Xenopus tropicalis: one gene and its partners. The protein of the gene in region 1 interacts with the protein of each later gene in a biochemical or structural test. Links are inferred from orthologs where the notes say so. Each region holds a gene or a part of one and is shown in the gene's direction. Other genes may lie near its edges. The genes, in order: ep300, parp1, ddx17, hif1a, npm1, creb1 and sp1.

Region 1 (3,670 bases):
CAGGGAAGGCAAAACTGAAGGCTACAGGGTACAATGATGATTTTGACAATTGCATACGTCCTGATGCTATTCCCAAAACAAAATTAGTTTGCTGTTATGGGAGTGGAAGAAACGGACTGGTGTGCAGACTGGACTCTACATGCTTTTGATTCTATAGTGCATTTTGTATTAACTTGTCCTGTTGAATCATAGTGTAAACATAAACTTTTCATTAGGACTGTAAGATCATTTTGTCTGGGGAGGTACACAGGGGGCTACACATTATACAATGGTTTGGTTTTACTATATTAATTAATTGCTCTAAGTTGCATTTTAAAATACAATGTGTCTTTAGGTATGGTGTAAATGGGCCAAAAAAAGAGTATAAGACTATAGAAAGGGCAAATATTGTAGGAAAACTAGTCATGCATTTTATGTGTAATGGCTATACATTTTGAATTCTCAATACAGTAGTAAAATACTTGCCAGTTACATATTCCCCAGGTTCAAGGGATGGCTGATAAAACAGCCAGATGAAAACTGAATTTTGCTACGTTTTGACAGTTGGCACTAAAGGACAAAGTGATATTATATGTTTTACATAGTGTACATTAGGTTTAAAAAGACAAATGTCCATTAAGTTCAACCTTTTATGCCTATATATAACCTACCTAACTGCAATGCTTCCAATTTCAATTTTTTATTTACAGATAATTGAAGTCATAGAAAATGTTTAGTGTACATTGGAAAATAGCTTAAAATGATGCTTCCTTTCAACCACCAAGATATTTTGAAAGGAGTTACTGGATAAATGAAAAAACATAATGTATGGGTTGTAGCAAACATTGCAGTTTGAAACAAAGTCTTAAGTTATGTTATATTTAACACATTGTCTTTAAATATCACAGGTCTGCTATTAGACTGGCAGATATTTTGTTGTTCATGGCTACAATATTATGTACAGATTTTGGTTTGGTCACTTAGTCAGGTATTCCTGAATGTGCTCTTTTTTTACTGGTTAGATACATTTTCAGTGTGCAGTGATTTTTGCTTGTAAATATTCTTGTGTACACTTAAAAGCTATCATTCATTTTTCAGTGCAAAAGTGGTTTAAAACATCACTTATAACAAAATATGGATTTGCACATAATCTCTAGGAAAGGCTGTCTCCCAAAGAATCCATTATAATCAAATAATTTTAATTTTTAAAAATGATTCCCTTTTTCTCTGTAATAATAAAACAGTACTTTGTACTTGATCCCAACTAGAATATAATTAATCCTCGTTGGAGGCAAAACAATCCAAATTACAGAAAGATCCCTTATCCAGAAAACCCCAGGTCTCAAGCATTCTGGATTATAGATCCCATACCTGTGTATGCAAAGGAATTATATCCCTTTTCTCATTTACTAAAACGCCCAATATTCTTGCATCATGGGAATATTTGAAAAGAGAACTGTTTTGGAGCAGGTTTCTTACTTTGCAGTGATCAGATTTTCTTGGGGCATCTATTCCTGCAAGTTGATTATAATCAACTGTATCTGCTTCCTACTGGAATACCTTAAAACTGTGGCTCCCAGATTATGGGAATAAGTATCACTGTTTAATATTGCATTTATTTTACATCCCCTTTTTTTAATTGATCTTTAATGTAGTGGTCAGATTAATATGTGGAGTGCTTCTTTTTAGACTTGGCTAAAAGCAGAAAAATAACACAGCTCAAATAACTTATTGGCTCAGATTTGATATCCACTATGCTGAGAGAATACTGTAGAGTTGTCTGTTTTGCATAGTGTACGCGTTGTGTGGTTTTCAAAGAGCACTGGCCTTCTAACTAGTATACAAAATTAGCAATAATTTGCATGTGGCAAAATATATCTAATATTTCCAGATAAATGCATACTGCATCTATATTTAGGTTAGTTACAATACCATTTTGGTAATTATACAGACAATATGTCTGGGGGTGGTAACATAGATATACAAATGCAGCGTGATGCTAATTTTTATAAATCCTTGACAAAAGATGAGCAATAAGTGAATATGTTCTTCCTAATATGACTTCCCTGAATAATAATGCAGGTTTAGTTTCCAAAAAAATGTATAATAAATTGTATTTAGTGTAACAAAATCTGTTCATTTCAGTAAGTTTGCATCCTGGGCATAGCAAATGTTTTAGTATGTCATAGAATGGCCAATTCTAAGCAACTTTTCAACTGGTTTGAACTTCTTTATTTTTTTTTTTATAGTTTTTAAATTTTGTCATTCTCTGCCTCTTTCCAACTTTCTGTTCTGTGAGGCTACAGTTTTATTATTGTTACTTTTTATTTATTTACTTTCTGTTTAGGCCCTCTCCCATAAATATTTCAGTTTCTCATTTAATCTACCCCCTCGTTGCTAAGGTAAGTTGGACCCTAGCAACCAGATAACTGCTGAAATTCTAAACTGGTGAGCTGCTGGACAAATAGTTAAATGATAATTAAAATCGCAAATAAGAAAAAATGAAAACCAATTAGATTGTGTCAGAATATTACTCTCTACATCATACTAAAAGTTAACTCAATAGGTGAACAAAATCTTTAAGCATCTTCGGTTTTTCTGTCTTTGAGAGTCAAACATGAACACATGAAAACTTTCTTTTCATGTTCATCTCCCGATGTCTTTTAGTCCACAGAAAACAGTGTAATTAGGTTATTAAAAAATATTCTAAAGATTGCCTTACATGCAAAAGTGGCAAATAGTAACGGGTAACTATGGTATGTTATTCTGTGCTGCATGAGCAATTGCCTTCTGATACAAATGTTTAATTCATCTTGGGCCGGTACATGGAGTAGCTGGGTACACTCTCCAAACTATTGGCCCACAGGCTGAATGGACAGAGAGCTTACAAGGGGCCATACAAGGTATGGCTGCCTTTCTAGTGTTCTGATTATTCGTGCAAGGACCACAACTGATAGGCTAACATGCTGCATCTGTAATTAATATTTTCTAAACAGTTCTACAGTGCTGCGGAATATTTTGGTTCTTTATAAATGTGAAAAAAAATTATCGCCATTCATAATCGCTTTTTTTCTGTTCAGTCCCCACTTGACTGTCCAACCTTTAGCCAGGGCGCCTGCTTAACTTGTGCAATGAGTGCAGATACAGGAAAATATCATTGGGTCATTCATATTTTCAGGAATATCCAATTATTCACCCCAGCTCTCACTAACTCTTCACTAGGCATTGAGGTGTATCTAGAATAGCAAATGGCCTTTCACCCCAGTTTTCACCCTAATTGGTTTTCAGGCTGAGCCGCCATGCATAAACCTTGCTGAAAGCCTAACCACCAGAATGAACAAACAAGCTTCCCTTGCAAAGTTTTGCTGATTCTCTTGAGTAGTATTATGTTTTTCCCATTTTAATTCCAGTAGCATTAACTGATAATTTTTATTTTTTCTTGTTAGATTTTGGGTCTCTGTTCGACTTGGAACAGGATTTACCGGATGAGTTGATTAACTCAAGTGAGTTTGGTCTGACTAATGGTGGAGATCTCAGTCAGCTACACAACAGCATGAATATGGTGCCTGATGCAGCTGCCAAGCATAAGCAGCTTTCTGAGCTCTTGCGTGGTGGAACCACCTCAAACATGAGCATGGGCCTTGGGCAACAAACATCACAAAACAGCCCAGGAATAAACCTACTGAACAGC
Region 2 (4,139 bases), on another chromosome or scaffold:
GGGGTCACTGGGGGAGGGGCCATTGGGAGTGTGGGAGGAGGGGGGGCCCAGAAAATCTTGTTGTGAGGGGCCCCGTGATTTCTGATGGCGGCCCTGCCCCCATATAAAGGCACAAGGCTGCAGGCTGAGTTATACAGGGAACTCTGAGTATCACTCATGTATTATAGGGGGTAATGTACCCCCTACTGTAAATGATAAGGATATTAGCAGTCACTGAGGGGTTCTGTGCCCATATAAAGGCACAAGGCTGCAGGCTGAGTTATACAGGGAACTCTGAGTATCACTCATGTATTATAAGGGATAATGTACCCCCTACTGTAAATGATAAGGATATTAGCAGTCACTGAGGGGTTCTGTGCCCCCCATATAAAGGCACAAGGCTGCAGGCTGAGTTATACAGGGAACTCTGAGTATCACTCATGTATTATAAGGGATAATGTACCCCCTACTGTAAATGATAAGGATATTAGCAGTCACTGAGGGGTTCTGTGCCCCCCATATAAAGGCACAAGGCTGCAGGCTGAGTTATACAGGGAACTCTGAGTATCACTCATGTATTATAAGGGATAATGTACCCCCTACTGTAAATGATAAGGATATTAGCAGTCACTGAGGGGTTCTGTGCCCATATAAAGGCACAAGGCTGCAGGCTGAGTTATACAGGGAACTCTGAGTATCACTCATGTATTATAAGGGATAATGTACCCCCTACTGTAAATGATAAGGATATTAGCAGTCACTGAGGGGTTCTGTGCCCCCCATATAAAGGCACAAGGCTGCAGGCTGAGTTATACAGGGAACTCTGAGTATCACTCATGTGCTATAAGGGATAATGTACCCCCTACTGTAAATGATAAGGATATTAGCAGTCACTGAGGGGTTCTGTGCCCCCCATATAAAGGCACAAGGCTGCAGGCTGAGTTATACAGGGAACTCTGAGTATCACTCATGTATTATAAGGGATAATGTACCCCCTACTGTAAATGATAAGGATATTAGCAGTCACTGAGGGGTTCTGTGCCCATATAGTCACAAGACACAAATCTGACGCCTTGTTATTATCCTTACATAATACTTTGCCTCACACAGACACACATTCCTCACACAAACAAACATTCCTCACAATTCTCACACAGACACACAGATAAGCTAGGGAAAGTGACGTCACTAAGTGTGCTGGGGCCACGCCCTCCCTGCCCAGACATGGGCAATGGATTGCCGTTCCCCGGATGCCAGGAAGCAAAGCGGCCCAGACGCGCACTCTGGCGGTGATTGCTTGTGCCTGTTCTGTTGTGTGGCGGGCTTGGGGCTGCACGCTGTTCCAGTGGGAGCCGGAGTGTCCCTGTGTGTAGGAGCCGCTCCTCCCTGCAGCCATGGCCGAGGCCTCGGAGAAACTTTATCGGGCTGAGTACGCCAAGAGCGGCCGCGCCTCCTGTAAGAAATGCGGAGACAACATCGCCAAGGAGTCCCTGCGGCTTGCCCTCATGGTGCAGGTAGGGGCCCGGCTGGGCTGCAGCATTATTGCCTATGGGGGGGCTAGTGTGGCTCATACAGTATGGGCCATTATTGCCTATGGGGGGGCTAGTGTGGCTCATACAGTATGGGCCATTATTGCCTATGGGGGGCTAGTGTGGCTCATACAGTATGGGCCATTATTGCCTATGGGGAGGCTAGTGTGGCTCATACAGCATGGGCCATTATTGCCTATGGGGAGGCTAGTGTGGCTCATACAGTATGGGCCATTATTGCCTATGGGGGGGCTAGTGTGGCTCATACAGTATGGGCCATTATTGCCTATGGGGGGGCTAGTGTGGCTCATACAGTATGGGCCATTATTGCCTATGGGGGGCTAGTGTGGCTCATACAGTATGGGCCATTATTGCCTATGGGGAGGCTAGTGTGGCTCATACAGCATGGGCCATTATTGCCTATGGGGGGGGCTAGTGTGGCTCATACAGTATGGGCCATTATTGCCTATGGGGGGCTAGTGTGGCTCATACAGTATGGGCCATTATTGCCTATGGGGAGGCTAGTGTGGCTCATACAGTATGGGCCATTATTGCCTATGGGGGGCTAGTGTGGCTCATACAGTATGGGCCATTATTGCCTATGGGGGGCTAGTGTGGCTCATACAGCATGGGCCATTATTGCCTATGGGGAGGCTAGTGTGGCTCATACAGTATGGGCCATTATTGCCTATGGGGAGGCTAGTGTGGCTCATACAGCATGGGCAGTTTGTAAGTTATTAGCCCTGGGCTAATTGCCCTAGTAATGGGGTATAGGAAAGTGCCCCCTCCAGCCCAGTGGGTTATTATTGTGAATACGGGTCCTAAGGTGGGGTGTCATGGAAGGTTATTGCCCCAGGTTAAGGTATGTTGTGAAAGCCAATGGATAACATGCTCTAGGTAAGTGCCCCAGCTGGGGTACTTTTGAGTTCAGGTATAGGGCAGTAATGAGTTGTAGGGGGGCTTGTTGCCCCTGAATGGGGACTGTTGTCAAACGGTAGGTTTGTGATGTATAGTAGGTAATTGCCCCAGTGATGGGCTGTTATTGCCCTGTGTTGGGGTATTCTGTTGGCAAGCCAGGGAAGTTAAGGGAAAGAACCAGGGCAAATTGTTGGTCTTTCTCCCAGAATGGGGTAACATGGTACCAATACTGGGAATAAGAAGGCGGATCCTATATACAGTTTGTTTCTGTATCTGCCCAAACCCCTCCCCCAGGGAGAAGCCAGGGCAATTCTGGATGTTTACACACCCACCGTAGAGCTGCACAGCAAGAGGAATATTTGCCCCGTGTTCCCAGAGGCTGCCATTGGCCTGTATTTACAAGACTTTACAGTGCCGGGGGCCCATTGTAAGGCTATATACATACCGAGCAGCTCAGAACCCAGGGGGGAGCCGGGGCAATTGTCTCTACTAGATAACAAAGGCTGGTGTCACACTGGGCACTTTATTAGCCCCTGTGGCTCTGCAGCACCCACCCCCTTCCTTCATGATTACTGTGCTGAACTGAGACTAACTAGGTAGTATCAGTAAGGGATTTCCAGCTGAGTCCTATCTACATACAAATATACGGAGAAGGAATGTTCTGGGCACACAAAATGATGCCCTCCATACTGTACTGTCTAAGGGAAACACTATGGCACCCCCTACCCATATGTATAAATACAAATATACAGAGAAGGAATGTTCTGGGCACACAATAAGCTGTACCCCCATACTGTACTGTCTAAGGGAAACACTATGGCACCCCCTACCCATATGTATAAATACAAATATACAGAGAAGGAATGTTCTGGGCACACAATAAGCTGTACCCCCATACTGTACTGTCTAAGGGAAACACTATGGCACCCCCTACCCATATGTATAAATACAAATATACAGAGAAGGAATGTTCTGGGCACGCAATAAGCTGTACCCCCATACTGGTCAGCCAGTGCCCCCCCACATACATGCCAGGTGATGGTGGGGAGACCAGACTAAAGTGATCTCATCTGATTGCATTGGATTTGATCAGCAGTGATGTACATACACTGAAGCACAGTTCTAGGCATCAGTCCAGATAAACAGTTTTGCTTTGGTCTTTATTCAAGACCCCCTCTTTCTCTGTGTATGGGAATTGTATCTATTTTGGCTGAAGTTAATGCACCCGAGTAAGAAAAATTCAGTAAGTGGCCTTGTGCTTTGTTTTGCAGTCTGGAACATCGAACTTTGCTTTTAATATACAGGGATGGGATCAGTTATCTGAAAACCCAGAAAGCTCCAAATTACGGAAAGACTATATCCCATACTCAATTTTATTCAAATAATTCAGATTTTTAAAATTGATTTCCGGTTTCTCCTTAATAATAAAACAGTACCTGTACTTGATCCCAACTAAGATATAATTACCCCTTATTGGGGCAGAACAGCCCTATTGGGTTTATTTAATGGTTAAATGATTCCCTTTTCTCTGTAATAATAAAACAGTACCTGTACTTGATCCCAACTAAGATATAATTACCCCTTATTGGGGGCAGAACAGTTCTATTGGGTTTATTTCTTGTGTTAGCAGGTTTAGTAGAAATCCAAAGTATGGAAAGACCCCTTATCTGGAATACCCTAGGTCCCGAGCATTCTGGATAATGGGTCCTATAC
Region 3 (3,889 bases), about 4.6 Mb from region 1:
ATGCCATCTGCTGGGCAACTGTTGGGAAGTCTTTTGGCTGTCAAAGCAGAAGAATAGCCCTTCTGCCCTTCTTCAGACCTTTTGTGGCTACTTCCTAAACTGTTTAGTTCCTCCTTTCTCCCTGCCTGCACATGCAGGATGTGGCAGTGTGCGTGACTTCCCATTCTGTCATGGAGAACATAAGAAAGTGAGCGCCCTAGAAACCTGTCATTTCCTTTTAACACACTAAACTAATGGACAGAGCAAAAATTTAATTTGTTCATCCTATTGGTTTCAAAGTTATTCTTCCCTCCTAAATAGTGGAACTTTGTTCTCCCATTTTTTCCTTTTTTTAAATTAATATTATGCTGTAAATTAGCCAAACCTGCAGTTCTTGTGAGTGACCTTTCTGTAATAAGAAACAGACATTTATCCAAACTTCCCTTTTGGTAAAATCTGATAATTAGCAGCTTTGTCCACATCCACCTTTCAAAGATTTTAATAACTTTATTGATGGCAGATGGTGAGTGTTGGAGGATGGGGTCTCTCTTCGCCCATTGACAGGTTCACAAACTTGGACTTGGGAGAAGGGCTCCCCCACAGAAGTATCTCGCTCAACCAGTGCACCTGTTGGGACCTCTTGCTGCGCCTGGACCGTTGATGCATGCTCCCTGCTCCAGTGGCCCCTTATCCAAGGATGAAGGGCGGCGACACCGCCATGAGCCAAAAAGACGGGATTGGCGACTGCTGTTTCCCTACCTCACTGAGGGAGTGTGCATCGGTCCGGACACCAGCTCTTCTGAGGAAGAATCCCACTAAGTTTAATTTAAATTATTTATGGTTTTTAGTGCTTTAATGGTTTTCTCTTTTAGCTTTAGGATTTTAACTGGTTCAGTGTCAGTCATCTCATATCTGATGTGTTCAGTTTGGGCATTATATTAGTTACAGTTTATGGAATAGCTCTCTGAACTATATTGTCAGTGAATTTATCTTCAATGTTTTCTAACATAATTGTGACTGGTAAATAGTATTATGCATCTTTGCATATGAAGCCCTAATCCATCTGAAATGGTCAATATTCTGATTTCTAATTTAAGACTTCAGATAAGAACCAAGATAAAGGCAGCTTTAGCTTTTGGAACAGAAATTACAGGGAATCACAGTTTGCCTAGACACTCTAAGCTTTAGTCACTGAAGTGTAGTAGAAATCAGAAATAGTTTGAGGCAAGATTTTTCTACATTTACTAACTTTAATCTTTGTCACTCTTCTGGCGTGTGTATTTCCTACACGTCAATTTCCCACTCAATTTTTAGATGTGGAGGATATCAAGTTCGTCATTAATTATGACTACCCAAACAGCTCTGAAGACTACGTACATCGCATTGGCCGTACTGCCCGTAGTACTAACAAAGGCACAGCTTACACCTTCTTCACACCTGGTAACCTCAAACAAGCCAGAGAACTGGTAAAAGTTCTAGAAGAAGCAAATCAAACAATCAACCCTAAACTAATGCAGCTGGTGGACCATGGCCGTGGCGGTGGTGGAGGTAGGTCATTGCCCTGAGGTTTGTGTACAGTATATAACTAAATGTGATGGTTGGATTTGAAGTTGTCTTTAAGTAACAAGTGTTAAAAATCTTAACTACTTATTAATTTAAATGTACTCTTCCACCCTGAGTAGCAGAGTGTAAGGGAGGGGTGGCTGGTATAAAGAGCAGTATACAGCTTTCACCTCTGCCTTAGGACAAACGCAGCTCACAATTAAAATCTTAAATTATATTTAGATAACAAGTGTGTGCTGGGACATGCATAAAGCAATATATCAATACAAAGGAGACTACCCAACAATTCTGGGCATGTGTGGCCTGCTTAAAGCAGTTTGGCCTATTTCAACTTTACTGACTGACCATCTAGATGTGTATGTCAGTTGAGGGATGAGCTTTTGACAATCCTGTGATCCTGATGGATGGCAGATGAAATCTGTCCTGAAGATTTAGAGCTAAGCTACACAGGAGATGTAGAATGGTGGCAGGTTGGCTGATTACATCCTTGCATAGGTCAAAATATAATGGGACTGATAACAAAATCTGATGTGTAATGTATATGGCAGATTTGTCATCCGGCAGGGCACTCCACTGCAAGTTGTGTCCGACAAGGTAAAATCTGATAGTGTCTAAAAGACTTTGTTGGTTTTCTTCGTCAATGTAGATGCGTTAACAAAACGCACCATCTTACTTCTGATTTGACTTACATTACAGCAGGAGGGATCAGATTGTGTAGCATCCCACTTTTGCTGATAAACAATGTTGGCAGGTGCATTGGAAGCTGAAGAAAGTTCTTAAACTATTCCTCTTTAGGTCTCTTCTTTCTGTAATGTGTAAACAAATGTATTTCTTTACTGTTTTCCTGTGTTTAAACCATATGTTAAAAACTGCTCTAAATCTCTCTAGGTGGCCGATCCAGATATCGCAGCATTCCCACAAATAACAATCCAAATATGATGTACCAGGAAGAGTGTAACAGAAGAATGCATGGTAAAGATGGAGGAAGACGTGATGGGAGGAACAATAACCGCGATGGTGCTATTTCTAACAATCCAACCGGGCGAGATCAGAACCGGCCAAATTACAGCTACGGTGGCCAGGTTTCCAATTTCCAACCCAACCAATACAGCTACGGACAGGGTGGCTTCACAGGAGTAGCTAACAATTATGGCACAGCAGCATATGCCCAGGCACCGCAGCCACTGATGTCACAGCAGTTTGCCCCACCTAGCTCCTCTGGCCTATTGAACTATATGAACCAGGCAGCCAGTTATCAGTATCCCCCTCCTCCTCCACCACCACCTCCACCTACACGTAAATGAGTTCTTCAGCCTTTTTATCTTTTAGCCTGTGTTACCAGTTGATGTAATACACAATTTCCCTCAGTAAGCTTTATGTTTTGTTGCATTTTGTTTTTCCTTTATCTTGATCACAGCAATGTTTGGGAATTAGACTTTTCCAATCTTTGAAGCTGTTCTTTAAAGTTAGTGTTCAGGATTCTATGTGCTTTGTTCTGGCAGTAGCCTTAAGATGACTTGATGTATTTGCAGGGCTTTTCGGTTTTTTTTTTTTGTTTTTTTTTACCTGTTTTGTTTTTTTTTTTTTTTTTTGCCAGAAAGTTTTGAAAGCTACTGTGGCTGCTTTTTTCCTTTTTTTTATTACTCCTGAGTTATTCCAGGTAGGTAAAATTCCAGACTGTCAAGCATCATTCCTCCCTTATTTCCCTGTCACCAAGACTTTTTTCTCTGTATTTATAATTCCCTTGATTGGTGTATAATCCTCCTTTCTTCTGGGGGTGGGGGACATCTACAGTGTTATGCCTCTCCTAAATACATTGACCCTCCCACTATATAGACACTATTTTGGCATTTTTGTTGCCATGTGTGACAAAGACAAAGGTAGGTTCTTTTAACAAGCATTAATAAGTTCACATTAGTTAGATTTATTTTTCATGGCAGGTTGTCTGTACCTCTCATCTCACTGTTATTTCAGCTTCTGTGTTTTGTGTTATAGTTGCATTTCTCTCAGGTGTAATTTTGTTTTTCAGTTACAGATAATGCCCCATACCTTTAAATAATGTTACCATTCTAGTTTGCTGGAGTGGTTATTACATTTTTAAAATTCATTTCTCTAAATTGTCATGAGAACCATCTGACACCATTTTGTAGATAATAAATTTTTTTTTAAAAAAAAAGTCACCATGTGTACCATTGTTTTATTAGAGTGGTGCTTTTATTGATCTCGCTGTAATATTTAAAGCATAACATTCAAATGTTCTGGCTATCTGTCAACTCTATTCTCACCAGTGTCCATTTCTGAAAGTGTCACGGATGGAAAGACTGAAGCAGCCAAACTGTCTTGGTTA
Region 4 (4,236 bases), on another chromosome or scaffold:
TAATCTAAAGGGGGGGCCTCTGGTGCATTGATTGTTTTAATGGGGAAAAAAGAACAACCCCCATCTGTCTATAATCCCCTCTAATGTACTTGTACAGAGTAATCATGTCCCCTCGCAAGCACCTCTTTTCCAGAAAATACAACCCCAACTTCAACAGTCTCACCTCATAGCTTAAATCTTCCATCCCCTTTACCAGTTTAGTTGCAGTCTCTGCACTCTCTCCAGCTCATTAATATCCTTCTTAAGGACTGCATCATCCCTTGAGTCAATTCTCTTTATTATACAAGACAGCACTTTATTTGCTTTAGTAGCCACAGAATGACACTGCCTGGAATTAAACAACTTGTTATCTACCTCATTTTCCATTTTGCTGCCTGGTTTTCCAATTTTATCAAATCACTCTACAAAGTGGCAGGATCCTGCATCCTGCATGTGTTTTGCACAATTTAGTATTATCAGCAAAAATAGAAACAGTACCGTCTATGCCCTCCTCCAGGTCATTAATAAACAAGTTAAAAAGCAAAGGACCAAGGACTGACCCCTGCGGTACTCCACTAACCACACTGGCCCAATTAGAAAATGTTCCATTTACCACCACTCTTTGTAAATCTATCCTTCAGCCAGTTCTCTATCCAATTACAAATATTATGTTCTAGGCCAATATTCCTCAATTTTATCATTAACTTTTTGTGTGGTACTGTATCAAACACTTTAGCAAAGTCCAAGTAAATGACATCCACAGCCATTCCAGAGTAGAAGTTCCTGCTCACCTCCTCATAAAAGGCAATTAAGTTAGTCAAGATCTGTATAAAACCATGCTGGCAAAAACGTACTGTTTTTTGCATTCAAGTATTCTTTCCCTTATTACCCCTTCCAAAAGCTTTGCTAGTCGATGTCAAACCAGCAGGCCTATAGTTTTCAGGCTGAGAAACGGAACCTTGTAATGAGGCCCAGATGCACAAAATGTCTAATATGGACTCAGCCCAGCAAAGCAGCATGCCATTTGTACCACGCACCCACTACTGCCAGTAAACCGGACATTTAAGAGCAGTTTTGAAATCCTAGTTCTACAACGACAATCCTTTTCCTGCAGTTAGTCAGCAGTGCAAATAAACTTTTTCAGACAAAAACGTCAGGACAACACGAGTTCTCAAAAGTGGAAGGACAATATTTTAATATATAATCCCTTATTTGCAGCAGACATTGCATTGTAAAGTTATACATTAAATTTATTGGCACTGGGCATGAGTGGGTTAAGGCTCATCCGACAAATCGGCCTCCGCCCCCCTCCCACCGAGACCAGGGAAAAGTGGGCAGGGCAAAGCCGCCGAGGGCTCGGTCATGTGTGAGCCTACTGATTGGCTGCTGCGATCTACGTCGGCGGCAGCTCGAACTGCACACCCACTCGGTGACGCAAGCACTTTCCCCGAAGCGTTTTGTTTGCGTTGAGTTAGAAGTCATCGGCCGAACCGGGAGAAAAAAAAGAAACACCGCGATCGTACGGTCGGATTGAGCGGAGGGATTGCGTCAAAAAAGAGTTCCTGCCGGTGTTGTCGGGGTCTGACCTTGCGAGCGCCTCACGCCTGTGGATTACAATAGCCCTTTCAGTAGGGCCCTCGGTTTCTGCGTGCATAGGACAAAACCCTCGGCGCTTGACACAGCTCCGGAGCGTCCCTCCCCCACTCGCTTGGCATGGAGGGATCTGTAGTAGCGAGCGACAAGAAAAGGTGGGTGCTCCGCCTCTGTGTGCGCCCTCTGACCTGCTGTTCCGCTGTCCGAGACCCCTGGCCTCACACCCTTTCCTTTAGTCAGGCCATTGCAATGAATGAGCTATTGATTCCATAGGGCAGAGTTGTAGATCTGAGCCACAGGTTGAGCAGAGAAGCACAGGGCCTGCCTGCCAACGCCGCTTGTGTTAGTCCGGGCAGCAGTGGAGGCTGCTGTGGGGCTGAGTGTGCTAACAGCCGGAGGGGCCGCCACTAAACAAATGTTGTTTTCATTCCAACTCCAACACTAATTTGTTTCCCATCTGTACTAATGTTTGCCCTTCCTGGACCTTCTGCGTCGCCATTTTGTGCGAGACTTCCTAAGTTTCTGCTGCTTCCCTGTTTGCTTCAGCTTTTATACTGAGCCGAGTGCCAGGCTGCTGTGAGTGTAATGGCAGCCCCACACACCAAGGCCTCTCATATCGGTTATTTCTGTTTAACTGATTATAACTAGCAATGTACCACATTCATGTATGTATTCTCCACTTACAACTATTATTCTGTGTGTATGTATATATACATACATAGAATTTGTTTAAGCATTGCTAAACATTTGTACCATACTTTTTCTGTGATCGTAATATTTAGTCAGGACACTATTTGCAGGGAGTGGGAAATGTTAGTGATACTAACTCAGGGGTGATTATTATTATTATCATTAACATTTATGTATAAAGCGCCAACATATTCCGCAGCGCTGTATAATAAGTAGGTTTCATACATTGGACATACAGAGTAACATATAAAGCAATCAATAACCAATACAAAAGGTGGAGAGCCCTGCCCAAAAGAGCTTACAATAGAAGTGTATTAGATAGTCCTGGAACTTTTGTAGGGTGGCAGTTAAAAATACGTTTTCACATAGGTGACAGTTTATTGATCCATACAGGAGCCACGTTCAGCAGGGTTAAAATATATTCAGTTGCTTCCATGTCGTTTGTGGCATAGGATATGCACATATTTTAGCACCATAGCAGTATATTAACTTGTGGGGTATAACCTTTATTTACTGTAACTTTGTAAGGTCATATGTAAAGGCATGAGAATTGTGATAACTATGCCAGTCAGTCATGTGATGTTGAGTTGCCGTAATGTATTTAGAGCAAGAGTAGTATGTCTCCCTCACCCAAATGTTGTGTAAGCTAAACCCATGTTTCTGGCTCGGATGATGTTTCTAAACTTCAAAGTTGTGTGATTGCCATAGTCTCCTGATCTATCTTGGGAGTTCATAGAACACCCAGAATTGCCTCTTATCTTATTGAATTTACACATTGTATCGCTTCAATGTACACAGTGCTCTACATGTCATAAACACAAACCAAGGTTATAGTTATCATAAATTAGACAGTGAGAATAAATCAATACTTAAAGGAACTGTTCAAAGTAAAAATAACACTGGCTGAATAGGCTGTGCAAAATAAAAAAAAAAAAAAAATGTTTTTACTATGGTTCGCTAAAAATGTAATCTATAAAGGATGGGGTGAGCGGATGTCTAATGTAATAGCCTGAATCTAGCTTCCTGCTTTGCATCACTCTAAACTGTTAGCAACTAGAAGGGGGGCCACATGGGACATCACTGTTCAGTTTGTGTGCTTTTAATCCTGACCTGCCTGCTCATGGTCAAAGTCAAACTAACTGGACAGTCGCTGACTAGCTAACAGGTTAGAGAGAAGCAAAGGAGTTAGTAGTTTTCTGGTGTTTATTTAATACATCTTTTCACTCCAGCCTCTATATATTACTTTTTTTGGCTAACTTTTTTAACAAACAGACTATGCAAAAATGTAAATAAATGTTTTTAATACAGTCAGTTGGGAAAAAATGTAATAAGAAAGGCTGGCATGAGCAGATGTCTAACATAATAGAATTTAACTTCCTCCTTTGCATTTCTCTAACCTAGATAGTCAGTGACTGTTAAAGTAGTTTGTGAGCACACAGGTCAGGGTCAAAGGCGTTTGCCTTTGACCCTGAACAGGTATGTCCGGATGAAAAAAATCTGTGTGCTTTTTAGTACTGTTTGATTCAGTCCTCTTTAAGCAGTCATTTGAAGTTGCCTGGAATTTGGAGGTCTGCTTGAGGCCATAGTTGGATTGCATTCAGTTACCAAATCTCAGCATGCACAAGGCAGTAGGAGTTGATATATTAATTTAATATCCATTCAGGCTGATTTATTGGTAATTACAGTATATTTTTCCAGGGTCGAAGGGACCTTGTATGTAAACAGGCATAAATACTAGAAAAGTGTAGGAAAAGTTAGGAAAGCTCAGTGGTAACCCCCCCAACTACATGTAAACGTGTTTCTTGCTTGAAGTTGGATAGTTTTAACAAGCAACCAAGATACACTGGCATTAAAATTGGCCTGGGTATAATTAAGGTGACAGCTTTCTGTTGTTTGAATGCTTGTATAATAGTTGGCTTTGTTTGGCATTTTGGTAGGTTTTTTTTTTTTTGGTGCAATCTTAATACCTTGGAC
Region 5 (4,249 bases), on another chromosome or scaffold:
TGTGCCTGGGCCCAGACAGGGCTGATACATTACTGGATAGCAAGCGGTGTAATTCCTGGCAATGTCATTCTGTGGCTACTAAAGCAAATAAAGTGCTGTCTTGTATAAAAAAGGGCATTGACTCAAGGGATGAGAACATAATTTTGCCTCTTTATAGGTCCCTGGTAAGGCCTCACCTTGAGTATGCAGTGCAGTTTTGGGCTCCAGTCCTTAAGAAGGATATTAATGAGCTGGAGAGAGTGCAGAGACTGCAACTAAACTGGTAAAGGAGATGGAAGATTTTATATTCTAAAGTATATTAATGTGTGTGCTGTATCGCACTTTAAATAGGGGTACAATCTCTCATATAAATGCAGCTTGTTTAGGAGAGATCATCTGAAAATACAGAGGTTTCCTGAACCCCTATGTGGCTCCCAATAAAAGGGCTAACAGATCTTTCTTAAACCCCAATGAAAGGGCTAACATGTTTCCTGAATGGAAATAAAAAGGCTAAAGGTGGCCATACACAGGAAGATCCGCTCGCTTGGCGATGTCGTCAAGCGAGCGGATCTTCACCCGATATCCCCACCTACGGGTGGCGATATCGGGGAGGCATGTAGGTGAGGGCCAAATGATCGAATTCTGCACGCGGCAATGGGGCATACGGTTCGGGGACCGCATCAACGAGCCGATGCGGTCCCCGAACCGACGGGATTTTCTAACCTGGCCGACCGATATCTGGCCAATTTCAGGCCAGATATTGGTCGGCCAGTCCGCTCGTTTCTGCCCCTACACGGGCCGATAAGCTGACGAGTCGGTCCAAGGGACCGATATCGGCAGCTTCTATCGGCCCATGTATGGGGACCTTAAGGTCCCTATGTATATGAACATTTTTAATTGACATTAAATAATTTGATTGGCATTAAATACACCTTTCAGATCCATTTTTTTCTTTTTAAAACCATTCCACATTTATTTTGCTAGGCTGAAATTAGTGTAAAAAGTAAAAGTGGCCTATAATCAAAGCCACACCCATAGCAGAAAAGGCACTGCCTCAGACTAGTATCTCACTTTCCATATTATATCAAAAGCAGTTTAAAACCAGTAAACATGTCTAAAGCCCGCATATGAGAACGTTACTAAAATTAATTATTACATTAATTATACACAAAAAGAGTTCAGGGATAGAGATCCCCTTTAACAATCTCTGCTATGGACACAGGCCTACACAACGTGAACTCCTTGCCATTATCTTACAAACAAGCACATGGTGGGTCACGTTAAATTCCTATAAACCCACAGCTCGTTTTGCGCAATCACATACCTCACAGCAGAACGTGTTTAGCCAATCGTAAACTGCGTTACTTGTTTGAGGGAAAATAGCCCCGCCTTTCTATGGCGTGAAATCTCGCGAGAAAAAGGCCCGTACATATAGAGACACGTTGCGCGCCATTAGTTCTCAGAATCCGTCCGTGCCGCTGTAGAGTAGAGGGGGTACATCTGAATTGAATTGGAACAAAATGGAAGACTCCATGGATATGGATAGCATTGCTCCCCTGCGCCCTCAGAATTTTCTCTTTGGTATGTATACAGTACCAGGGGTTTTGAAACTCGGCCACGGGTTTTTTTTGGGAAATATTATATAGACGTCACACGTTCCGCTGACTTGTTCATGGCTCCCCGGTGTCCTGCTTTTAACGGGACAGCCCAGTTTTGCGTCACTCAGCCCGCTGTCCCGGGCTTTTGTTGGAATGTCCCCGCTCCTTCCTCACGGTTAGACTGCTCCTGGGCGCAGGAGCCGAAAGCATGGATTCATTGCTGCTGCCCTTTGCCTTTCTATGGCTCCCCTCCTGCTACCACTACCACATTATGTGGAATATAGATTCCTTCTCCCTCCCCCAGGTACAAGCTGCACCAAATGAATGCTCTTTAACTGCTTCCGCCTCCATCTCTCCTTCATATTACCTCCCTACCCAGAGTTATCCTAAACTTTGAAGCCAATATTGCTCCAGTTTATCATCTATAATACCACCTATATCTATAATACCACCTGCAGGTTCTGTTAGCTACAACTCCCTGCACCCATCAATATCTAACATACATTGTACAGCTCCTATTTAGCTACAACTCCCTGTAACATGTGCCATTGTTTCAATATCTCCACGTGTAAATAGCCATGTGCCTATCAGCTGGAGCTGCCATTCTTACCTCTGCACTTATCATCAGGAAGGAAGAGTTAAATATATATAGATATATATAAAATAGTCTAGATAGATATATCTATCTATCTAATCAAATAGTTAAGAATTTTAAAACTAATTTCCTTTTTCTCTGTAATAAAATAGTACCTTGTAATTGATCCCAAGATATAATTAATCCTTATTGAATGCAAAACAATCCTATTGGGTTTAATTAATGTTTTGTTGATTTTTTTAGTGTATTTAACGTATGGAGATCTAAATTACAGAAAGACCCCTTATCCAGAATACCCTTGGTCCTGAGCATTCTGGATAACAGGAGATAGATAGATATAGGTAGATATATTCTCGATAGATAGATAGATAGATAGATACAGAGATATATCTCAGGTTCTCTATAGAGAACCTATCTCTGTATCTATCTATAGAGAATATATCTACCTATATCTATCTCCTGTTATCCAGAATGCTCAGGACCAAGGGTATTCTGGATAAGGGGTCTTTCTGTAATTTAGATCTCCGTACCTTAAATCCACTAAAAAAATCAATAAAACATTAATTAAACCCAATAGGATTGTTTTGAATTCAATAAGGATTAATTATATTTTGGGAACAATTACAAGGTACTGTTTTATTACAGAGAGAAAGGAAATCTGTTTTAAAATTCTGAACTTTGATTAAAATGGAGTCTATTGGAGACAGGCTTTCTGTAATTTGGAGCTTTCTGGATAACAGGTTTCCGGATAAGGGATCCCGTACATGTGTTTCAAAATAAATAAAAAAAAAATACACACAAGTGCCATAAATATCCCATAAAAGATATCTTTATAAATGGTGCCTGTTCATGTAATTTGTCACATGACTTGCATAAACTTGTGTATTGTAATAAAGTACCCACTGTTGTAAAATGAGGATATTCGAAGTCACCTTGGAGTTGGGCTATGGAATGTCTGATTTATAACACATGTAACACTTTTTTTGGCTGTAACCCAGCCAACTATGTAGAAGGGACCAAACCGAGCTATGGTGTAGTGCAACTACAACCCACTGTAGCTGTGTGCAGTTCAGAATAACAAATGAGAGCCAGAAGGTTCTTGCAGTTGAACAATAGAATCAGTTTATTGTTAGAGATATGCATGGTTATATATCAATATGCAGGGTAAGTGTAATATACTCACAGCAGTTTAGCATAGCATTTCTCTGCAGACAGCACAGAGGGTGCACATCCATTCCTCACAACTCCTCTTGAGTCTGGCCAGGGTCCGTGCCACTGGTTCAGTTTATCCACCCTTTGGAACAGTCAGATTGGATACCACACTCCTCAGGTTGAACACCTCTAGCCCTCAGGCTCCCACAGCAACTCTGGATAAGGGTTCTGATACTGCCTGCCTTCTATGTCTAAGGGCTCTGGCACACTGGGAGAGCCCTTAACCGTGGCCCTACGCTAAGGCAACAGTGCCTGTCTGGAAGTGTACTTCCAAAACTACTTTATTTGGTGGAGCCAAACTGCCCTTGCTTCCTTCCCTCACTATCTCGCTTTCCTAGAAAGTGCTCAACACAACATGCTATCTAACTGGTCCTCATTCACAGGGTCCCTGTCACTGACTTCTCTAGAGTCGATGCAGACTCTACGGTAATCACTTTACTGGGTCCCTGTTGATCCCAGGCTCAGTGGAACTTCCACCTGGGTCAGCAGATGGAGCCAAAGAGAAAGCCACACCCCCCTGCTAAGCACTATATCAGTGTGCCAAGGGAGTGGTCTCCCTGGTAACCAATAAGGCACATATGCAAAACTCTAAACTGATACATGGGTCTTTGCCCAGTAACTGCACAAGCCAAGGAAGCTGCAGGGTTTAAAGCCATAGGGGCATGTTAACCCTATAGGTCCCTACATGTATTTTTTTTTTTTTTTTTTTACAGTAGAGGGGACTTTAATCACTATTTGACGATGCATGGAGGTACAAAGGGCAATGCATTGTAAAAGTGAGTTCTTCAATAGGTAGAAAGATGTACATATAAAGCAGTTAGCCCATGCAAGAGGTAGAGGGCTCTGTCTGAAAGAGCTTACAATC
Region 6 (4,424 bases), on another chromosome or scaffold:
CTCTGTACTAAAGGGGATCACAAGTGGGAAGATATTTTTGGATCTCAATCCATTCTTAATACTTAAAGGAACAGTAACACCAGAATATGAAAGTGTTTTAAAGTAATTAAAATGTAATGTACTGTTGCCCTGCACTGGTAAAACTGGTGTATTTGCTACAGAACGCTCCTATAGTCTATATATAAATAAGCTGCTGTGTAGCCATGGGGGCAGCCATTCAAGCTGGAAAAAAGGAGAAAAGGCACAGGTTACATAGCAGATAACAAATAAACTCTATAGAATACAATCACATTTTATCTGTTATCTGCTAAGTAACCTGTGCCTTTTCTCATTCGAATGGCTGCCCCCATGGCTACACAGCAGCTTTGCTTATATAAACTATAATAGTCTTTCTGAGGCAAACACACCAGTTATACCAGTGCAGGGCAACAGTGCATTATATTGTAATTACTTTAATATGCTTTCATATTTTGATGTTACTGTTCCTTTAAAGTTGGCCATACATGGCAAGGTCACTAAACGGGCAAATCTTTCACCCGATATGCCTACCTTGGGTGGGTGATATCGTGCCCCATCACATTGCAATGAAGGGGATAGGAAAAGCCAGATCAAGGACCACATCAATAAGCCAATGCAGTCCCCGATCCTGCAAAAAATCAAGCACGTACAATCAACATCTGGATCATTTTTGGCCAGATATCTGTTGGGGGGGTTCTGTCGGAGGGTCCCATGCAGGGGCAAATAAGCTGCAGAGTCGGTCTTAAGGAACAGAATTAGCATCTGAAATCTGGCCCCGTATGGCAACCTTAAGTTGCAATGGAAAAATAGTTACACCAGCACACCCTTACCTCCTCCAACAGGTTAGCTACTTGGTGCACGGCCCAGAGAGTCCGCACTCTCCGCAAAGTCCAGTAAAAATGATTTCAGCCGGCACAACAAGTAAAGTGCAAGTGGGGTATAACCCCTGCGTGTTTATTCAAGGCAACGTTTCGGGGGCGAACCCCTTCATCAGGCCACCTAATACTCAAGGTGGCAAGTACACTATAGCGTCATAAGCACTTCATGAAACAGCTCCGATTTAAAAAGAAGAAGGGCGACAGGGTAACGTTATCTGTTCTAGAATCGTAATAAAACTATCAGACTAACCTGTAAAACATGAAAACTAAACTGATAGCTTTAATCACAACAACGGCACTGTTCATTCAGCCAAAGCAGCCAAAGCACAGGTAAGGTCGCCGCGGGTAACCAAAGCCCGTTTCTCATAATTCCCACACTCACCAACCTTAACTGCCTGTTAGCTCTGTAGCTTTACTGCAGCCTGTGCAAGTTGTCGCATCAGTAGATACACGGGTTTCCGCTTACAGTGTCGGAAAGGGGTATTGGGAACTGTAGTACAACTGCAGCAGAAAGGTTTTACTAAGGCCTAACTTCTGCGCCTGCCCAGATTCCACCCTGCGCTAGCTCCGCCCCGCCCTCTGCTGTTGGCTGCCTAGTCTGTCGAGGCCTTCCTCAGTGTCCTGTCGGAAAAGAGCCCGCCGCCCTGACGCCGCGCCCGGGCCTGAGCTTAAGAAAAAAAAAAACTAGCGCCACCACAAGAGGAAGAAGAGAGAGCAAGAGCAGCAGTGACGCGGCGGAGGTGTAGTTTGACGCGGTGTGTTACGTGGTGGGGAAGAGAATAAAAAAAAGCCCAGCGAGATCCCAGCCGCGAACGAAAGCAGTGACGGAGGAGAGGCAGTGTAACCCGGTAAGAGGAAGGAGGAGGAGAGGGAGAGGCATGGAGGAAAAGAGATGGAGCAGGCCTCACCGCCGGCTGCTTTCACAAATACCCAGGCGGCAACTGATTGTAGGGAGGGATTTCTGGGGGCTGCCAAGAACAGCGCGCCGGCTTTTCCTTCGAGCTTGCTTTCCCGCCTGTCATGGTTCCCCTTTTTACCCCCTTAGATAATACAGAATGTTTACCCCGCCATAGTAAAAATGGAGACCGTGCGGAGGGGGTGAAATAAAGAGCCGCGAAACAAAGGATAATGGCGGCCGGGAGGAGGCAGCCGGCGGCGGCAAGAGCTGGGGTGTGCGATACAGCCACAGGGGGTCACCGGTGGGGAGACCTCCGCAATCTTTCACTGTCGCGACAGTCAACGGTGCTTATCACGACACATATATATATATATATATATTATATATGTGTGTATGTATATATATATTTTTTTTTGTGGCTTGTTAGATACATGCGACTAGTATCGTTCATGTTTTCCCGCAATATAGTCTTCATTCAAAGGGGAATATTCATGATGCGATGAACGAATTCTTCTTTTCCTCCCATATTTTTTAACACTACTTTTTAAAGTTAAATTTCTTTTTAAAGTTTAACGTGACTCTTAGGTTATTATTTATAAACAATGCTCCTACCTGCGGCACTCCAGCCGGGGTCGAACTAAAGGTCCTGTCAGGATGAGCTGAGGGCTGCATATTAGTAGCTGAAGGGCCGCAGGTTGGACTTGAGTGGCTCGCTAGTTGGTACAGAGGGAAAGCAGGCAGGTCTTTTTGCTGAGCATGACTTCATTTCGAATTGTTAGTGGGTTCCTGAAATATCTGATCGTCAGGGTTCACCAACTGTCTGCTCTTCTGGCAGCAATGGGTAGATATTTTTATTTTTTTACTGTATATTCTTACCCCAGCTCCCGGGCATCCTTCTAGTCATGGTTTAATAGTTGTCCACTGGTTGGGTAACAGCAGCATCAAGGGTCAGTGTAGACTGGTGAGGGTGAGCTCTTTGACCAAGATTACCAGAGGGAGGTTCCACTAATCCTGCTTTTAAAGCTTCATATTTATGTGACCCTTGTTCTGCAGTTTTTTTTATCCTGTGTTGAATGTTTGAAGCTCTAAAAACAGAATTGGCCCCAATGTCTCTCTGGCAGTCTGTGTATGTATTTTGACACATTTTTCATGAAGAAATGAAGATTGTAACATTTCAGAGATTTCCATGTTTCATCCAAGACTGGTACGGTTTTCTTGTCCATATATTTTGTTGCACTGCAATCCCTTATTGAACTTCCACATTATTTCCCTCATGCTTGCTCATTACTTTTTGTTTGATGAAAACATCTGGACAGTGAGAATAAAATTTGTTTATAATAGATCTTTACATTTTGTTTTATTTAGTATTGTCTACTTAATGCAGATCTGCATTTAAAGTATGTCAGGTATGATTAGACTTCAAAAGTATGAAATCTACATCACCTTAGTAATTGCAGGGAAGCATTAAAGCACAACTTTTGTGGTACTCAAACATTCTGCCAAGTAGAGGGCTAAGGACCCCAGGTTCTAGAAAGCTGTAATTTGTATTGGTCAATTTAGAGACCCAAGTTCTAGCTTGTCCGTTTGGGGCTAATATGTGAATACCCAAAGCACTCATTTACACACAATTAAACTTGCTAAAACTTCATTGCTGGTACCCTATAACATGGCTTCAGGGGGGTTGGTACATATTAGTGTGCTCGTTAATTCTAACATTTATAAGTGACCTGATATCGCTTAAATATTAATTGATTTAATTTGAATGCAGACAAACATAGTTTGGCTTTATTTGTGATATTTTAATTTAAGGCTTAAATATTTCAGTAATTAGAATACTGTTTTATATTCTTGGTTAATGGCAAACAGTTATAGACTTCTTTAGAGATGTTTTTAAACACCAAGTAAACTTTACAGTGCATATAGATGGATTTCAAAGGGTTCCCCCCCATAAGAATGCTGTTTTTCCCTTGAAATGCAATAAAGTTAAAAACAAAAATGCTTGCATTTTATTTTTTGTATTTGTGTTTTGCTTATTCAGTCACTTCCTGTTAGGCGGGATAGGTTGTTTTTTTTTCCCAACACTTTGAACATTCTCCTGTAAGTCTGCCTTTTCAAAGCCCCTTTCCAGAAACCCCAAATAAGCTGCATGCGTATTTTTTTTTTTTTTTTCGTTATACTCTAGTTATTGAACACTTTCATAAATAGGCAGAGATCATCATACACTTAAGCTCTGAGGTATATTTCAAAGTTGTTTTCATTTTAATAATACATTAGATGAAAACTTTCTTTTTATGCAAGGGCTTTGCAGGTTTTCATTTTGATTACTAAAAGGAAAACAAAACTGATAGAAACACTATGAGGGTGACACATACCTCTCCCATCCTAGTATAATAATGCTGTTAAAAACCTGTAGCTGTGGCCTTTTATTATAGTACATAATAATAGAGAAATGTCTTGTATGGCAAATTCTAGTATATACCTTTGGCATATTTTGCTGAGTGAATCCCAGTCTGTCCATAAGATAAAATAAATCTAAATAGCAGGAAATAAATATTGTATAATGAGACGCTTCCCTGTCTTAAGGCCTGTGATATGTCATATATATAAGTGTGCAAAAGTAGCACAGAAAT
Region 7 (4,397 bases), on another chromosome or scaffold:
ATCATATTGGAAACGAAAATTTCGGAAGATCGCAAATATCACGAAAATGCTTACGAAAAAATCGTATTAGTCACGATAATATCGTATTGGCGATCCGAAAGTTGCGAAATTTTCGTACCGAACAATTGTAAACAGTGGTAAAACCTTTATGATTTTTTCGTGCAAACGTCTGAAAAAGTCGTGCGGACGCCCGAAAAAATCGGCGAAAATACGCTCGGAGTGTTCACGCTTTTGTAAATGTGCCCCTATGTCGTTTTGCCTCAAGCAATATGGGAATTGAGCTACATGGAAGCATCAGCAAACTGTACTATAAAATGGAAGCTTAATGGTGATGGACTCAGTTACACCTTTAGGGCTCTGGCACATGGGGAGATTAGTCGCCCACGACAAAACTTCCTGTTCGCGGGCGACTAATTTCCCCGAGCTGCCTTCCCCTGCCATCCCACCGGCGAAAATGTAAGTCGCCGGTGGGATGGCACACGCGGCGGCGCGATTTAGCACAAATCGCCGAAGTTGCCTCGCGAGGCTTTTTCGCCGATTTGCAGGGGAAGGCAACTCGGGGAGATTAGTCGCCCGCGAACAGGGAGTTTTGTCGCGGGCGACTAATCTCCCCGTGTGCCAGAGCCCTTACAATCTAATAAATACAGCCAGGACTGTTTTCTCAAGAAAAGGCATTCATTTTTTATTGAGCAATATATTTCTATTAATGATAGGACTGACAATGCTTTACTGGACTGGCTGCTTAATAATTATTGATATCAATTTGGAAGAAGTGGCCCAATAAAGAAAATAAGCCTTATATATTGTGCTCGGCTTTATGTAACCTATGTCACTTTTTTTTATTGTTGTAACTCTGATATTTATTCTAAACCTGCTATTTTCTATGCACGACCCGTCCATCATTCCCTCTCTGTATTACAGATAATGCGGCCCCTTTAGTCACGTAGCCACTCAGTCGCAACTCCGACTGCTGCCATCTTGCTTCCTATTTGCACGTAGGCTGATGCCGAATAAAAACGAATACTTTAATAGCTGTGGCCAGTTATTCTAAATAATTAAAGAGCGACATTCTGCAATTCCAGCAAATGGCGCCCAAACCCTACAACGACCAGTCAAACTTTAATTTCCCTTCCCCTCCTCACACAGCTCTTCAATTGCTTGCTTTTCTCGTATGATTCGTCACTTAATGAAACGCCTTGGACTTCGTTCGATTATGATTGGCCCTTTTCAGTGTCACTCTAACCTTGGGAAGGGTTCAGACTAGAGAGCCACCACCCCCGCCACATTCTTTCATCTCCCTCCCCCATCACACACCGCCTCCGTGGCTGGGCGGGGTCACTCCACCTCTAATTGGTCAGCCTTCTCTGTCAGTCTCCAGCTAACTGCACCCACCGCGCCACCCCATTGGGCGGGTGGAGCCGCCCCTCGGCGGGAGTGGTTAGGCGGTCTGTCGATCTCCGCCCGTAGCCCCGCCTACTCACCGTCTCCGCCGCGCGGCAGCCAGGTTAGGTTGCCATCGTCAGCCGAGGTTTGTGTGAAGTACCTACGGCCCCAGAAACAACATGAGCGGTAAGCAGGAGAGTGGGCATAAGGGCGGGAGGTAACGCGGGTTCGCAAGCTTATCCCAGAGCCCCTCCTGGCTTGCTCGCACGCAGCTTGTGTGAGGGATCGCTCCCCCTGGCCACTTTGTGGGCTTTTTGCTGCGCGCCATGACTCGCTGGCGGAATGCTGAGAGCGGCCGGTACCACCGGAGGAGGAGGCGGGGGTGTAGAAATAAAGTCATATCCGCCCTCACTACTTCGTTCGTTCTCCTTCCTCGCCCCCTTTTTACTTTTCCCTATAACTGGAGAGGTGGTTGTGGCGGTAGAACCCCTCCCTGCTGTCCTCCTCTCCCGCCCTGTTTTTCTGCCCCCTTCGGTGGGTGGGGTAGAATTGTAAAATTGCCCCCCGCCCCTCCTAGCATGGTAGCCGGTACTTTTCGTGACACAGGGAAAGGGCAATACGTGACCCTAAAATGTTCCCCGGAACCCGTTGCCTTCGCCTATAATGTGAAGCCTGCGGCCCTCCTTCTGTAGCCCCCCCTGCCCAGAGCAATCCTTGCCTCACACTGGGGATATCTGCCCCTCTGGCGCCCAAACACTCCCAGTATCCGTAGCTGTGGGGTATCTGTAGTTCCCCTGAAACCATTATCCGCCCTCAGCTCGGGCAGTTTCACTGACATCGTATGGATGGGAGGGACCTTCATCCGGTAGATCCCTTCATTAACCTGCTGAACGGGGCCGCTGGGAGTTGTAGTTTGCCTCTGGAGTTGCCATTACTCGCAGGTGAAGCCTATGTAGACCATTTATATTTATTTGTAAATCATTTTACTTCTAGAACGTACTCCTCTACAGAGGGTTGTGGGAGTTGTAGTTCCACAACAGTGCTGCTAAGGCTATCTAGGCTGATAGATGGGAAACATGTTTGTGAGTCTCTTCACTTCCAGTATTGAGAGGTTTGTGAGAGTTGTAGTTCAGCAGTCTGTTTCTAAGCTGAGGGGTTTGTGTTTCTCAGGGAAGTAGGGCCGGCCATGTTGTAAGCCTGTGTGTGCATGTTTACTCACTGCCCTCACTCACACACTCTCTCTCTGTGCTTGTGCCCTTCGCTGACAGCAGATCAGGAGCACACGTCCGATGACATGCCTACGATAAAGTCCGAAAACCGGACAGGAGGTGGATACATCCAGAAGGGGCAGGTAAGCGGAACCCACCCATATTGCATTATACACAGATAGGCAGGGACCATGCCTGGGAACTATCCAGCCCTCTCGCCTTGGCTGCCTGTACACTGGATGAGCATGGGGGAGGGGGGCTGAGGCCTTTTTTTTTTTCCTCCTTTCTCTTTGAGAATGGCTGCTGTCCTCCCACCCTTTGGCTGGCAAACCTCCCACCCCCTGTTCCTGACTGCCCACTTGGGGCAGGCCCCAGAAACCCTTCCCCCCAGCCCTGTCCCTCCTGTTCTCTCTCTGGCTGTCTCCTTGACATGCTGGTTTGTTTACATGCTGGCACTCTTTGTGCTGTTGCTAATACTGCAAATGGCACCTAGGACATAGCCGTAGAAGGGTTAAATTGACATTCACGTTCAGTCTTGCATCTTATTGGCAGCTACATTTTTAATTAAATTCAGCAACTGCATCTGCTGCTTCGGCTGGTGGGGGCCGAGTGTAAATGGCAGTTAGGGTTAAATCTGCTCAGATTTGTAGCAAAGGCTGGAAAGGCAATGCTCCACTAAATTTCACTGAGTGTTATTTTTGCTATTGTGCAACAATAAAATATCACTTACAGCACACACCCAGTTTATTCCATTGTGGGTAGTACTGTCTTTGTACCAACACCCACCTAGGCATGGTTATCTCTGCAGCTTGTGCTGTCTTAGGCCATCGCAGGAGGTGGCGCCCCCAACTGATGATGTTGGATATCTTCCCAACGCTGAACCATGTATATGTAATAGAGTGCTACAGCTATAGAATCCCTTATCCAGAAAGCTCTAAATTGCTTGCAGACCATCATAGAACTAAGTTTAAAGGGCACCTATCACCATTTAGTTTCTTCCCGCCACCAGAGGTGTAGGCTTTAGAGCCCGCATTCTGGAAAACAATAGGTTTTTTTTTTTAAACAGCCCCCACGGGCGGCCATGTTATTTAGCGTGCATGTGCATAATGAGCAAGACTCCTCACTCATTGTGCGCAAATGTGTGACGTAGGAGCAGCACACACACACACACATATATATATATATTATATGTGTGTGTGTTTCCCCCAACCAGAGTGCGGGCTCTATTAGCCTGCACCAGGATGTGGGGAAAGCAATTCGATGTGATATTATGCTAATAATACTAATTTATAAAAATGATTTCCCTTTTCTCTGTAATAAAACAGTAGCTTGTAATCGATAGTATCTTAGCTGCATAAATCTGGGGCAAAACAATTCTTTTGTGTTTTGTATAGTGATGCAAATTACTCAAATCCCTTAAACCTAGGTCCATGCATTCAGGGTAATAGGTCCCATTCAAAGCTGTTTGTTTTTTTTTTTTTTGACAACAAATTTTCTTCCATTATTGACTTTCCATTATATTTATTATTTTAATGTAAAATAAGTAATACTGTGTGTTTTTCCTGGGAATGCACACTAACATGCCTGGGCAATGACCCACCTGCACCATTACCTCTCTCACTAACATTGGGGTAAGCTAAGGCTAATGCCACACGTAGCATATGGTGCATTGGCCTGCCTTCTCCTGTAAGGTGGTCACTCTTTCTACCATCTTTCTGTGTGTCATTCCTCAGTACATTTATGACCTTATCTTTTTTTTATGTGTGTGTGACATTCATATATCTTCCCTGTGCAGCACTGTCTAAC

What was found.
Region 2: the proteins of ep300 (region 1) and parp1 form a complex in vitro, tested with the Homo sapiens proteins (2 studies listed by BioGRID, with this or other methods). The link is inferred for Xenopus tropicalis from reciprocal best matches to the Homo sapiens genes EP300 and PARP1.
Region 3: the proteins of ep300 (region 1) and ddx17 form a complex in vitro, tested with the Homo sapiens proteins (2 studies listed by BioGRID, with this or other methods). The link is inferred for Xenopus tropicalis from reciprocal best matches to the Homo sapiens genes EP300 and DDX17.
Region 4: the proteins of ep300 (region 1) and hif1a form a complex in vitro, tested with the Homo sapiens proteins (25 studies listed by BioGRID and IntAct, with this or other methods). The link is inferred for Xenopus tropicalis from reciprocal best matches to the Homo sapiens genes EP300 and HIF1A.
Region 5: the proteins of ep300 (region 1) and npm1 form a complex in vitro, tested with the Homo sapiens proteins (2 studies listed by BioGRID, with this or other methods). The link is inferred for Xenopus tropicalis from reciprocal best matches to the Homo sapiens genes EP300 and NPM1.
Region 6: the proteins of ep300 (region 1) and creb1 form a complex in vitro, tested with the Homo sapiens proteins (2 studies listed by BioGRID, with this or other methods). The link is inferred for Xenopus tropicalis from reciprocal best matches to the Homo sapiens genes EP300 and CREB1.
Region 7: the proteins of ep300 (region 1) and sp1 form a complex in vitro, tested with the Homo sapiens proteins (4 studies listed by BioGRID, with this or other methods). The link is inferred for Xenopus tropicalis from reciprocal best matches to the Homo sapiens genes EP300 and SP1.

What each region holds. Positions count from the first base shown.
Region 1 is NC_030680.2:115,934,974-115,938,643, reverse strand, and holds part of ep300 (histone acetyltransferase p300), read left to right. Parts: intron 1-3,425; coding exon 3,426-3,670. UniProt on the Homo sapiens protein: Functions as a histone acetyltransferase and regulates transcription via chromatin remodeling. Acetylates all four core histones in nucleosomes. Histone acetylation gives an epigenetic tag for transcriptional activation.
Region 2 is NC_030681.2:7,987,638-7,991,776, forward strand, and holds the start of parp1 (poly [ADP-ribose] polymerase 1), read left to right. Parts: upstream 1-1,259; 5' UTR 1,260-1,373; coding exon 1,374-1,493; intron 1,494-4,139. UniProt on the Homo sapiens protein: Poly-ADP-ribosyltransferase that mediates poly-ADP-ribosylation of proteins and plays a key role in DNA repair.
Region 3 is NC_030680.2:120,521,922-120,525,810, forward strand, and holds the end of ddx17 (probable ATP-dependent RNA helicase DDX17), read left to right. Parts: intron 1-1,293; coding exon 1,294-1,527; intron 1,528-2,430; coding exon 2,431-2,846; 3' UTR 2,847-3,254; downstream 3,255-3,889. UniProt on the Homo sapiens protein: As an RNA helicase, unwinds RNA and alters RNA structures through ATP binding and hydrolysis.
Region 4 is NC_030684.2:101,984,970-101,989,205, reverse strand, and holds the start of hif1a (hypoxia-inducible factor 1-alpha), read left to right. Parts: upstream 1-1,332; 5' UTR 1,333-1,692; coding exon 1,693-1,727; intron 1,728-4,236.
Region 5 is NC_030679.2:20,062,127-20,066,375, forward strand, and holds the start of npm1 (nucleophosmin), read left to right. Parts: upstream 1-1,447; 5' UTR 1,448-1,499; coding exon 1,500-1,560; intron 1,561-4,249. UniProt on the Homo sapiens protein: Involved in diverse cellular processes such as ribosome biogenesis, centrosome duplication, protein chaperoning, histone assembly, cell proliferation, and regulation of tumor suppressors p53/TP53 and ARF.
Region 6 is NC_030685.2:49,783,067-49,787,490, reverse strand, and holds the start of creb1 (cyclic AMP-responsive element-binding protein 1), read left to right. Parts: upstream 1-1,610; 5' UTR 1,611-1,744; intron 1,745-4,424.
Region 7 is NC_030678.2:146,984,203-146,988,599, reverse strand, and holds the start of sp1 (transcription factor Sp1), read left to right. Parts: upstream 1-1,513; 5' UTR 1,514-1,562; coding exon 1,563-1,569; intron 1,570-1,876; exon of another isoform or gene 1,877-2,224; coding exon of another isoform or gene 2,225-2,324; intron 2,325-2,651; coding exon of another isoform or gene 2,652-2,654; coding exon 2,655-2,734; intron 2,735-4,397. UniProt on the Homo sapiens protein: Transcription factor that can activate or repress transcription in response to physiological and pathological stimuli.